3 linked regions of the Sus scrofa genome follow. The protein of the gene in region 3 binds, or shares a complex with, the protein of the main gene of each other region. Links are inferred from orthologs where the notes say so. Each region holds a gene or a part of one and is shown on either strand. Other genes may lie near its edges.

The links. The genes of interacting proteins can lie anywhere in the genome.
Region 1: the proteins of NALCN (region 3) and FAM155A are in contact, whole or in part, in a cryo-EM structure (PDB 7CM3), measured with the Homo sapiens proteins. The link is inferred for Sus scrofa from reciprocal best matches to the Homo sapiens genes NALCN and NALF1. Residues at the interface, in NP_001337678.1 of Homo sapiens: Cys207, Val209, Asn220, Leu222, Ala223, Ile224, Pro225, Thr227, Tyr237, Pro240, Phe243, Tyr406, Glu409, Phe909, Ala1044, Lys1045, Asn1047, Pro1049, Arg1054, Ile1060, Arg1062, Ile1063, Asn1064, Val1065, Ser1066, Lys1069, Lys1080, Lys1081, Gly1083, Phe1084; in NP_001073865.1 of Homo sapiens: Lys278, Glu281, Phe282, Val285, His287, Lys288, Tyr289, Leu290, Gln291, Glu294, Tyr295, Ser296, Val297, Lys298, Ser299, Tyr308, Trp311, Leu312, Gln315, Leu335, Gln338, Thr339, Cys341, Phe343, Ile344, Leu345, Pro346, Asp347, Asn348, Asp349.
Region 2: the proteins of NALCN (region 3) and UNC79 are in contact, whole or in part, in a cryo-EM structure (PDB 7SX3), measured with the Homo sapiens proteins. The link is inferred for Sus scrofa from reciprocal best matches to the Homo sapiens genes NALCN and UNC79. Residues at the interface, in NP_001337678.1 of Homo sapiens: Gln349, Met350, Phe351, His352, Glu353, Gly358, Trp359, Gln360, Leu361, Phe712, Ser713, Ile714, Arg717; in NP_001333147.1 of Homo sapiens: Cys861, Gln862, Ile865, Glu968, Pro969, Asp970, Phe1020, Gln1022, Pro2088, Asp2089, Ala2092, Pro2093, Leu2095, Leu2096, Met2099, Leu2139, Pro2141, Asn2142, Gly2143, Ile2144, Gln2147, Leu2148, Ser2151.

Annotation. Positions count from the first base shown.
Region 1 is NC_010453.5:74,774,700-74,778,199, forward strand, and holds part of FAM155A (transmembrane protein FAM155A), read right to left. Parts: intron 3,410-3,500; coding exon 3,238-3,409; intron 1-3,237. UniProt on the Homo sapiens protein: Auxillary component of the NALCN sodium channel complex, a channel that regulates the resting membrane potential and controls neuronal excitability.
Region 2 is NC_010449.5:114,881,761-114,885,260, forward strand, and holds part of UNC79 (protein unc-79 homolog), read left to right. Parts: intron 1-1,909; coding exon 1,910-2,139; intron 2,140-3,500. UniProt on the Homo sapiens protein: Auxiliary subunit of the NALCN sodium channel complex, a voltage-gated ion channel responsible for the resting Na(+) permeability that controls neuronal excitability.
Region 3 is NC_010453.5:69,719,021-69,722,520, forward strand, and holds part of NALCN (sodium leak channel non-selective protein), read right to left. Parts: intron 3,339-3,500; coding exon 3,223-3,338; intron 1,424-3,222; coding exon 1,266-1,423; intron 1-1,265. UniProt on the Homo sapiens protein: Voltage-gated ion channel responsible for the resting Na(+) permeability that controls neuronal excitability. NALCN channel functions as a multi-protein complex, which consists at least of NALCN, NALF1, UNC79 and UNC80.

The DNA of each region.
Region 1 (3,500 bases), about 5.1 Mb from region 3:
AATTCCTTTTTTTTTTTTTTTGACTGTACCCACAGCATATAGAAGTTCCCAGGCCAGAGATGGAATCTGAGCTGAAGCTGCAACCTCCACCACAGTTGCAGCCATACTGGATCCTTAACCCACCACCCCACAGCAGGAACTCCCTTGATGAATTCCTTTTAATAAAACTGGGTCCAGTGACTGTCGTTCACTGATTGGGGAGGGGAGGGACCGGGGCGGGGGGGTGGGGTGGCATGGCTGTGAGCTTGCCATCCCAGGGCCTTAGGTCACCTGCAGCCAATGGGGAAACTAGGAAAAATGCTCCCGTTTCTTGACTTGGTTTAGACTAATTCTGCCTGAGCACCGAAGACGTTTCATTCAAAGTGCATCAAAGGCTTGTGAGATGACTCAGCATCTACTCAAATGTACCTCAGAGGTGAATGACTTGCATCCGTGTATCCTTCTGTAGGAGCGGAGCCTTCAAAGACTGTGTAACAATGTTTGCGAACAAATGCTTTCTCTGCAATGTCTTTCTAGTTTCCCTACAAATGGGAGAGGTCACTGGGGGTTTCGCCCGTGGCCCCTGGGAGCTATTTTCTGTGTTCCCTGCTTCCCATAGGGCGACGTTCTGGGGGCCGTGGTGTCTCGGACCCCCGTCAGGAGTGACCAGGCAGTGGGTGATTCCCACCAGCTGCAAAACTCAGGGGACCCCTGTGACCCAAGGTGGAAAGGATGGACGCTAGTGACCCGGACACACACAATCCTCCCAGGAGGCCTGGTCGCCCCTTAGGCAAGAGGGTCCGTCTGAAAATGAGTACAAAAAATGTCACCGACCTCAGAGGCAAAACACCTTCAGAATTTATTCTGCACGTTTTGTTTTGTCTTGTTTTGTTTTTCTTTTTAGGGCTGCACCCACGGCATATGGAGGTTCCCAGGCTAGGGGTCGAATTGGAGCTGTAGCCGCCGGCCTACACCACAGTCACAGCAACGCAGGATCTGAGCCACGTCTGCGACCTGCGCCACAGCTCATGGAAACGCTGGATCCTTAACCCACTGAGCGGGGCCAGGGATGGAATCTGCAGCCTCATGGATACTAGTCGGGCTCTTTATTCACTGAGCCACAACGGAACTTCCTACTCTGCACATTTTTGAGAAGTGTAAAAAGAACATAAGCCCAGGTGACAGCAGGGAAAGAAGAGCCAGGTCCCCAAATATTCGGGGGTGAGATCCTCCCAGAAAAGCTTCTAATGTCCATGACATTTCCCCCTGGACCTGACTAAAGACAAATCTCTCTTTTCCTGTCTGTTTTCCTTAATGACGGAGATGAAAAATCCTGATTTTAAAAACCTCCAAGACAATTAAAAATATAATAAATATGATAAAATATCTCTCCACACGTTGGGCAGAAAGAGATTACCCTCCATGCTCAGCTTTCTGGTGGTTTGAAAGTGTACAGGCAGGGAACGCAGGGTCAAGCCTGTATTTCAGACTCAGACACGCAGATGAGAGAGCAGGAAGCAGGAGAGATGAAGGCAGATGCCTCGCCCTTCTTTTGAGGTTGTGTGTGGTCTGTCTGCTCTGAGAACCTGGCCAAGCTGCTGACTCCTCCAGGAAAAAAGTTACACGCATGTGAGTGAACACAGATGCAACACTTCCATAAAATTCCACAGGTTTCTCAGAAACCCTCAAAGCACGGACACCTCATTGACCCCAAAGTCAAGAGCTGACAGCCTTATCTTGATGGCCATTTAGTGAGAATTTGAAGTGGAAGGCAAATAAACACATAACCTGTGACTGATGAACTTTGGCTCAGACTCAAAGGAAGAGGGTGTTAATATCTCCCTTCCCTCTCCACTTCCTTCCTTCTTTCTTTTTCTCTCTCTCTTGCTCGCTCTGTCTTTCCAGCAGAGACGAACTACATGAACAACAAGCTCAGTATCAAATCAGTGGAATAAGAAAATAATTGGTAAATCACTTTACATTCCACAAATCACCTCCTTACGTGCCATGGCCGTTGCCTACAGCTGACCCGTCTCATACCTCTCCTCTCCCGGGAATCCTCACGGCAGGCGTGGGGTGGGGGTGGCGGGGGTGCTGTGGCTGATTTACTGCTGAGAAGACGGTGGCTTAGAGAGAACGCAGAGTGGCATCAGGATGAAAGCCCGTGTCTCTTAACCTTCATCCAGACGTTCTTCCCACAAGGCTGGGCAGCGTCAGAAATACTCATCCGGCGTGTAGGCAGGTTCCAAGGGGAGACCGTTTGCTGGACTCTCTCTTGATGGAGCGTCGCTTGGAAGAGCGTGGCTAATGGACTGGCATGGATTAGATAGACCTAATACGTGATCCAGAAGGACCCGGATAAGTCCTCGTGTGGGTCATACCAACACGTCACTCTGCTTAGAAGAGTTTCACACAGTCTGTTACAAGAACAGGTTTTCAGGTTTCTTCGTATTTATGGTCGCGTCTTATCCTTAAAACCTGCCAACATGCCACTCAAGCCATCTCGCGTCAAGGACACCCGGAGTACTTTGTGAGGGAGAGAATATACAGCGACAGCTTGGATTACCCCGTCAGTACAGCAAAGTGGATGGTCCCCACTTGTCTATCCACCATCTACTTAAAAAAACAACCTACGTTTATCCTCTACATCCTAGTCTGTGCCTACATTGCGCAAGGCTCATGAATATCCAGACATCGAATGTTGCTGTGGGTGTTTTGCTCAGCCTGGGTCATTTGTTGAAAGAAATAAACATTATTAATGGGAAATATAAGATAAGATTGTACCTGGCCCTTGTTGTGTGACTCTAACACACACACACACACACACACATAACTTAGGTGGACATTTCTTCATATTCTTAATACTTGTTTAAGCTAAAGAAACATAACACTTCTCAAAGAATAGGCTTGGGACAAAAACCTGATACCGATTTGAAGAAGAGATGATTTTCCAGCCTTATCCTATCATCTGTTCTTAGATTAATACAAAGATAAGGCAGGTGGAACCCAATCAGCTCTAAGTCAACTTAAGCAAAGGCATTGTTTTGCCCGCGGAACGAGCCTTTGGCAAAGTTAACGATTGCGGTCACAGTTAGATGACACATAATGCAGCATTTCCGAATCCGTTTTGGGGTCCTCTCAGGGCTTCCGTGGAGGAAAGCATGGAATAGCACCAGCCACATCTTCAGGGTTACAGCTGTGGAAGGGGAGCAAGTCCACCACGAGGGGCTGGGTGCCAGCACCCGCCCTGCACTCTACCTGTACAGATGAAACTGGAGAGTCCCCCGTAGATGACTTCGTCATTGTCGGGCAATATGAACGGACATCTCGTCTGAACCTCCAAACAGTATTGCTTGCAAGGAATTGTCTTTCTGCAGTTAAGCTGTGCGACTTCAAAGTACTGGGAACACAGCCAGGCTTTGTAGACAATCTGAAAAAGAGAAGAATCAAAAATAGGGCGGGATGACAACAGTTCTGACTAATAAGGGACGTGCTGTACCGTGGGGAGCATGCTGTGGTTT
Region 2 (3,500 bases), on a different chromosome or scaffold from region 3:
GTTGACACAGCCACAGCCCATCAAGATTCAAGGTGAATGGAAGCATTTGGTTCCTCAGAAGGAACCAAACCCGAAGAGCCTCACCCGCAGCTGGACTTTATTTAGATGAGACGATCTTGGACCTCCAGCCAGGAATTTGCATGCAGGAAGAATGTAAATGATTTGTGACCAGAAAATAGGATGGAAATTGCAGGGCTTAAATTTTGGGACTTTATTATAGCTAATAACTACCTAAGAAATCCATGTCCACATTCTATTGTTTATGTAATAGTGGGAATAAAGACTAGTTATAACTGAAGGGAAGAAATAAACACTAGCAACGTACTCCAGTATACACCACACTGCTAGTGTTGCGATTTGGTTTAGTGGGTGAGCAGGAGACGCCCCAAACCAGTAAGGATTCATGTGCTTCCAGAATGAATTTAGTGTGTGAAAGAGAAAGAAAGGGTGCAAAGCAGGAAAAATACCTCACTTGGAGAAGTCAGGGCTGACTTGGATGCTGAAGGAGACTTGAGCTTTAGATGCGGAAGAAACACTGTATTTTAATAAATAATTTTAAAGAACTTATTAGTAAAGGTGAAAAAGATCATTAAAAATTTAAACTTGCTTTTATGATTTATTGCGCTGAGTCCTGTTCAGAAAATTAGATTTTCCAGCACTCATATCTAAAATTTTGTGCTAAAATCAAAGTGGAAAAAGCCTTATTTTGAAATGGGTGTTCTGATAGGCAATTCAAGACATTGTCAATGTTTGGATGTAGGTGTTGTGCTTGTCTTCTTCCTTCTTTTGTCTCCCCAAGATATCTGTTATGGAGCATTCTCAAATCCTCCCCAAGCCTGAGCTCATAATGGCTTAGGGTATTATTTTTTTCCTATGATATTCCATCTTTTTTTTTCCCTTTTTTTGGCTGTGGTTCTGGCACATGGAAGTTCCTGGGCCAGGGATCAAACCTTCTACAGTGTTAACTAGAGTCACAGCAGTGACAATGCCTAATCCTTAACCCCCTGTGTCACGAGGGAACTGCTGTTATATCCCATCTTAATAAGCTCTATGGAAAAACTGAAATACAATGGTGGCATCTGTAACAGATAGGTTTCTGCAAAGGTCAGGGATATTTCCTGGTTGCCCCTCAGATTGCTTTATGTGGGTGCTGCCTTGCTTCTCTGCTTCTTTCAAGGCAGCTCTGACAATGGCATCCCCCTGAACTTCAGCATCTTTCTTATACTGCATCACTTTTCTCACCTCCATCACTTCATCTGTTGACTCCTTTCCTAGAGTGGATGCCATTGGCTGAGCCTAGGAATGGTTCTTGCTATGTTTTGATGCTTCCTTGTATCAATTGACATAGTCTTTAGGTCTTGATAGAAAGAGTGCTTGCCGGTGGGGTTAGATAGGCCTGCTTTTGAACCATCAGCTCAGCTCAGCACAGCTCCCTACCTGCCCTTAAATGTTCAGGGACAGATGTACTGTGATGGAAATCTACTCTTTAGGTGGTGGATAAAATGATTTTGAAAGTTTGTTTTAGGGGCTGAAATTGTTCCTTTCCTATTCTGTGATGTGCTCTCTCTGGATCACAGTTTTAATTTTTTTCGTATTTCTGCTGCAAACTCGTAAAACACTAACTTGAAATAATTCAGAACGTCCACCATGCCCCATGACTGAGGTCACTTTATGGAGGACTTTTCAGTCATATTTAGGCTGTTCTACCACTCATACTAATAGAAACCTCTTCTCAGCTTTATTTTTAACTATGACTGAAATTTAACTGGTTAGAGATGACCTGCATTTTGGAAACTAGTGGCACTTTAGAAAAGTGCTGCCCCTTCCGGTGGCCCTTCTGTTTGTTCCAGTTATTAGCCAGATTTACCTCAGTGATTAATTTTGATTGATTTCACTCTTTTGCTCCTAGAACTGCAGTTCCCATGTTAGAAGAGCTGTTGTCACCTGCTTTTCAGCAGGGTGCTGTGGTCGTCACGGAAACAGGCCTGTTCGGTATTGCAAAAGATGCCACTCGAATCATCACAGTAATGAAGTGGGGGCTGCGTCGGAGACCCACCTCTATCAGACCTCCCCTCCACCCATCAACACTCGGGAATGTGGTGCTGAGGAGCTCGTCTGCGCCGTGGAGGCCGTAATTAGGTAACGGCTTCCTTGGAAGCTTACCCTGAGAACATTGCCTTTGCAATGAGACACCCGTTCCACATGAGGTGGGCAAATTTAACTCAGCTTCAAGCGCCCTCAGCCAACATCTCACCTTCCACAATGTTGCAATGATGATTTTTTTTTTTTTTCGGTCTTTTTAGGGCTTCATCAAGTGGCGTATGGAAGTTTCCCAGGCTAGGGGTTAAATCGGAGTTAACAGCTGTCGGCCCACCCAACAATGTGGGATCCAAGCTGCGACGTGCACCACAGCCTAGGGTAATGCCGGATCCTTAACCCACTGAGCGAGGCCAGAGATTGAACCCTAGTCCTCATGGTTACTAGAGGGGTTCATTACCACTGAGCCACACCAGGAGCTCCCAGTGATGATATTTTAATTCATTAATTCAACAAATACTTTTATTGAGTGCCAGTCACATGCCAGGCATATGTTAGGCACTTGGGAGAGAGAGGAGAGTAAAGTGTAGTTTCTGACTTCAGGTTACCCGAGTAACTTGACTTCCGTATTAGTGTAATAAATGTTTGCTAAATAAAACATTACAGAAAGTTTGGAAATAGGAAAAAAATCATCCATATTGCTGTCATCATCATCAATTTTGCACATGTCCTTCTAGTTTTATTCAATGTTTTATTTATACGACTGTAATCACAGTGTATCCGGGTTCATTCTGATGTAACATTATACCAGCAGCTCTTTTCCCTCTTGTTTGGTAGTTTCTGCATTTATCACTTTTAGTGACTACATAATGTTTATTTAAATTACTTTCCTCTACCACTAAATATTTTGACTTCATTTTTTTTTTTACTGTTATAAATAACTCTGATAATTGTTTTTGTGCATAGTGCTGTTCCTATATTTTAAATTTTTTTAGGGTATGTGATCAGATGTTGACTGGGTCAAAGGTATGAATATTTTAATGGTGCTTGATACATGGACAAACTGATTTTCAAAGCGTGTATATGAATTTCACACATCACTGTATGACGTTGCTAGTTTTTTCTATACCCTTGCCAACATTGAGTATTATTTTTAAAAAATTTCCATTCATTTAGCAAATTGCAAAAGGAATGGTTGTAGCTCACTGCCAGGTATTTGAACCCTAGATATTAAATATTTTACCATTTGAGTACCAGTTCCTCAATTTCTCTTCGTATCCTGTATTTGATGTCTGCATAGCTTCATATTAGATCTAGGAAAAGCACTGGCTTCTAGTGAGATGATTGATGAACTAGAAGCCAGAACCATCAGTCTGCTTGATTCTAATTGACTGGAGGAAGGCGCCTCCTTGCGCCTCAGTTTGGTCATCTATGAAGTGGGGATGGAGTAGAACATAGGAAAT
Region 3 (3,500 bases):
GACTCACTGAGAACTGGTGAGCGTAATGGATATTGTAAGATATCAGACACGGCAGTAATGTGATCTGAAATGTCTGTGATTTCTACAGGTGACAAGATGTGGGTATTGTTAATACTGCTGTGCTTTATTGCCGACATTCATCACTGCAGAAAATGCTGTATTTTAGCAAATGATTCATGAAAATAAAGATGTAACTGTTTCCTTTTCCAAGACCATGGACCCCTGCATTTTATCCAAGAACTCCCATCTAAGAAGCTGTTAGGGGTTGAACTGTTTTCCTCAGTCCTAACCCCCAGGACCCCCCACCCCCAAAGTGATCTTAGTTGGAAAGAGGTCATTGCAGGTGTAATTAGTTAAAATGAGGTGATGCTGGAGTCGGGTGGACCCTTCATCCAACATGACCGGTGTCCTTATAAAAGACACAGACGCAGACACGCAGGAGCACACACTCACACACACACACACAGAGGCACACACACACACACACACAGAATGCCTTGCAAAAATGAAGGCAGACATCAAAATGATGCTTCCACAAGCCAAGAAACACCAATGATTGCCAGAAACGAGGAGCTGCGAAAAGGCCTGGACCTGATCTCCCCCAACAGCCGCAGAAGGAACCAAGCCTGCCGACACCTCAAATTCATTCCCTGCTTACAGAACTGGAGACAGTTAACTTGCTGTTTAAACCACTCGGCATATGTCAGTTATTTTGCTGCAGTCCTAGCAAATAATGCGGATTCCTCTTGGAGACCAGGAAGGGCCAGGCCTCCATCTGCCCCTTTGTCCTGCCTGGGTCCTCATGAAATGTCTGGGAAAGGGGGTTTGTCAGCCCTTTGGAGACCACCACCCCTGAGCAGGCCAGGCCAATACTGGCCTGACCCAGGAGTGAGGAAGTGGGATGGGAGCTCTAGCAGGTGGCCCAACCCTCCCGGACCAGCTCCTACCTGCCTAATGAAACCCCTCCCCCCCAGCTTCTTTTTCCATGGGAGCCCCTCTGCAGTCAGGGGCGCATCTGGGGACGTGCCGCTGCTTCTCCCCTCCCGCATGAGGCACCCACAGGGACACGATCCTTGCAGGACAGTGAGAAAGGCCACTTGGCCCCTGAGAAGCGGGACTGCGCCTTACAACCTGGGCCGAGGAGGTGGCATTTCTGGGTGTGAACGCACTTGAAAGCTGCATCTATCGGGGCCTTGAAGGATGGCAGCTTCGGCTGGTTTCTGGACTCAGTTTGGCTGCCACCCAGAGCCGGGGGAGCTGCGCACCTCAGCACGTCGTGGAAGGTGACGTCGCCGCCGTTGTGCAGCCGCTCCATCTCGTAGCACATGTGCTTGAACAGGAGCTTGTCTTTGTCCAGGTCCACCTCCAGCCTCCCCCGCAGCAGCCGCAGCAGGAACTTCACGCGGAAGGTCGGGATCACACCCTGGTGACACAGCACCGTCGTTACCGAACCATCCTTTTGCTTGCGGTTCTGTTTTCACAGCAAAAACGCCCGCACGCAGCCTAGTTCCCAAAAGCTAGCCTGTCATCGGGGCAAGGAGGCGGCTGGGCTCCCGGAGGCTGGGTGCGTCTGCGCACCCAGGGAAGCTTTGAGATCTGAGCCCCTGGAGCTCCCCCCGGAGCCCCTTGGTTCTAGGGGGGCATCACCCCCCACAGCAGCCAAGGAGCCAAGGCCAGGGCTAAGGTCCCCTCGCCTCCAGGACAGGCTCCTGATCTCCCAGCCTCCTTCCTGTCGTCTGTTTCATTGATTCCGACCCTGGTCACGTGGTTCTCTGACACAGGTGCCCAGTGGGTCAGGGACGCATTTAGCAGAAGAAATGGGACCCATACTTAGAAAGACCACTCCTTTCCGGGTCTTCATAATTAGAACAAAAATGTCCAGGAGACCTGAGCTCCCAGCTCTGAGCCCTTCTGGTCACAGCAGATCCAAATTCTGGGGACCTAACGTGTCACCCCCTTCTGAGCAACAAAACCTAGCAGCCAGCCTGGCTCCGACTCTGAATGAGGCGCTGGGCCAGAGGCGGGGAGTTGGTCACCTGGATTCTGGTCAGTTACAAAGGTCTACACATGTGACGGGCTGCGCCTGCACGTGGCCAGGAGAGCAGGTCCCTGTGGATCTGGGTGACACAGACACCCGTAGAAGCAGGTCACTGTCTCAGAGGAAAACCCGGAGACCGATGCCTGGGTGAAGGGGAGGTGGCACAGAGAGAGCAGGGGGTGTGCAGAAAGCTGCAGACCCCCGCCCACGTCCAGGACCCTCTCCTCTGCCTCTGGCTCCTTGGTCTCTCTGTCCACAGTCGACTCTTCTGGAAACTATCTTCACATCTTCCCGCAGGTCTGCCCAAGCCTCAGCTTTGCTGTCTGTCAGCTAAGTCGCATATCACCTCCTCAGCCGGGCCTTCACGACCACCCTGCTAAGGCTCTGCCCCCCAAATCCAACCACTTGCTACTGTGTGTCCCCCATTTCATAGTGTTAACTTCTTGAAATTATAAAATCATTATTGTTTCACTTTTTGTTTGTCTCTCCGTATTAGGACATAGGCTCGGAGAGCACAGGGACCTTGCCATCTTGTCCACGGTCATACCCTCACCCCGGGAGCCCAGAATTGTGCCTGAGGGTTTGCTAGGATGGCGAAGGAGCGGGGAGGAAAGGGAAGAAGAAGAGGGGGAGGGGGTGGGGAGAGGAGGAGGAGGAGGAGGTAGAGGTGGGAGCTGCTGCTGTTTTAGCTAATTCTGGGAAGTCGGGGGTAAGATTTATGATGCAAATATTCGAAGAGTTAAGTCCAAAATAATTCAAAAGAATAACATTCAGAAACCACTTCAGGAACGCCTTTGCACCTCTAATGAGAATTGCTGTGCGAGGCTGAGGTGACTGTGAGTCAGTCTTGACACTGTCACTTTGGTAAGTGGAACGTCACCTCCTCTCCTGCCCTGAACCCAGGCTGGAATCTTCAGCGCTCCCTTGGTTCCCTCTCCTTGCCGACCTTCTGACCGTCTAAAGGAGAGGATGTCTGTGGTGGGAAAGAACACGTCGGGGGAGCTACTCTGGCCTCGCCTCTCCCGGCATGTTCTTCTCAATTGTCAGTGACGGCTTTCTGCAGCTCAGCAACGGCCGTTCCATTCAGCGCAAGTCAACCGTCAACAGCAAAACCATTGAACTGTTTGAGCCACGGCGGCAAGTCACTTTGGGTTGGGGCTTGACGCCACAAGCCGCTCTCTTACCTCTCTTTTATCATCCACCATGTTCCATATGATTTGAAAGTGGCGAAGGTCGTTGTAACTTAAGAGCTGGTCCTCCTCGGTGGAATAAAACAAAGAGAAATTCTCCACAATTATGGCTAAAAAGGGAAATGAAAAGAAAAATGGAGATGTTAGACACTCATGCTAATTTGTCATTTTTCAGAAGTAAAACATCTATTATAAATAATGGATTTTATCACTTACATTATAAGCCAGATTTTTAAAGTGCTTTTAGCATGGTTTCCAAGTTGGCATGTTTC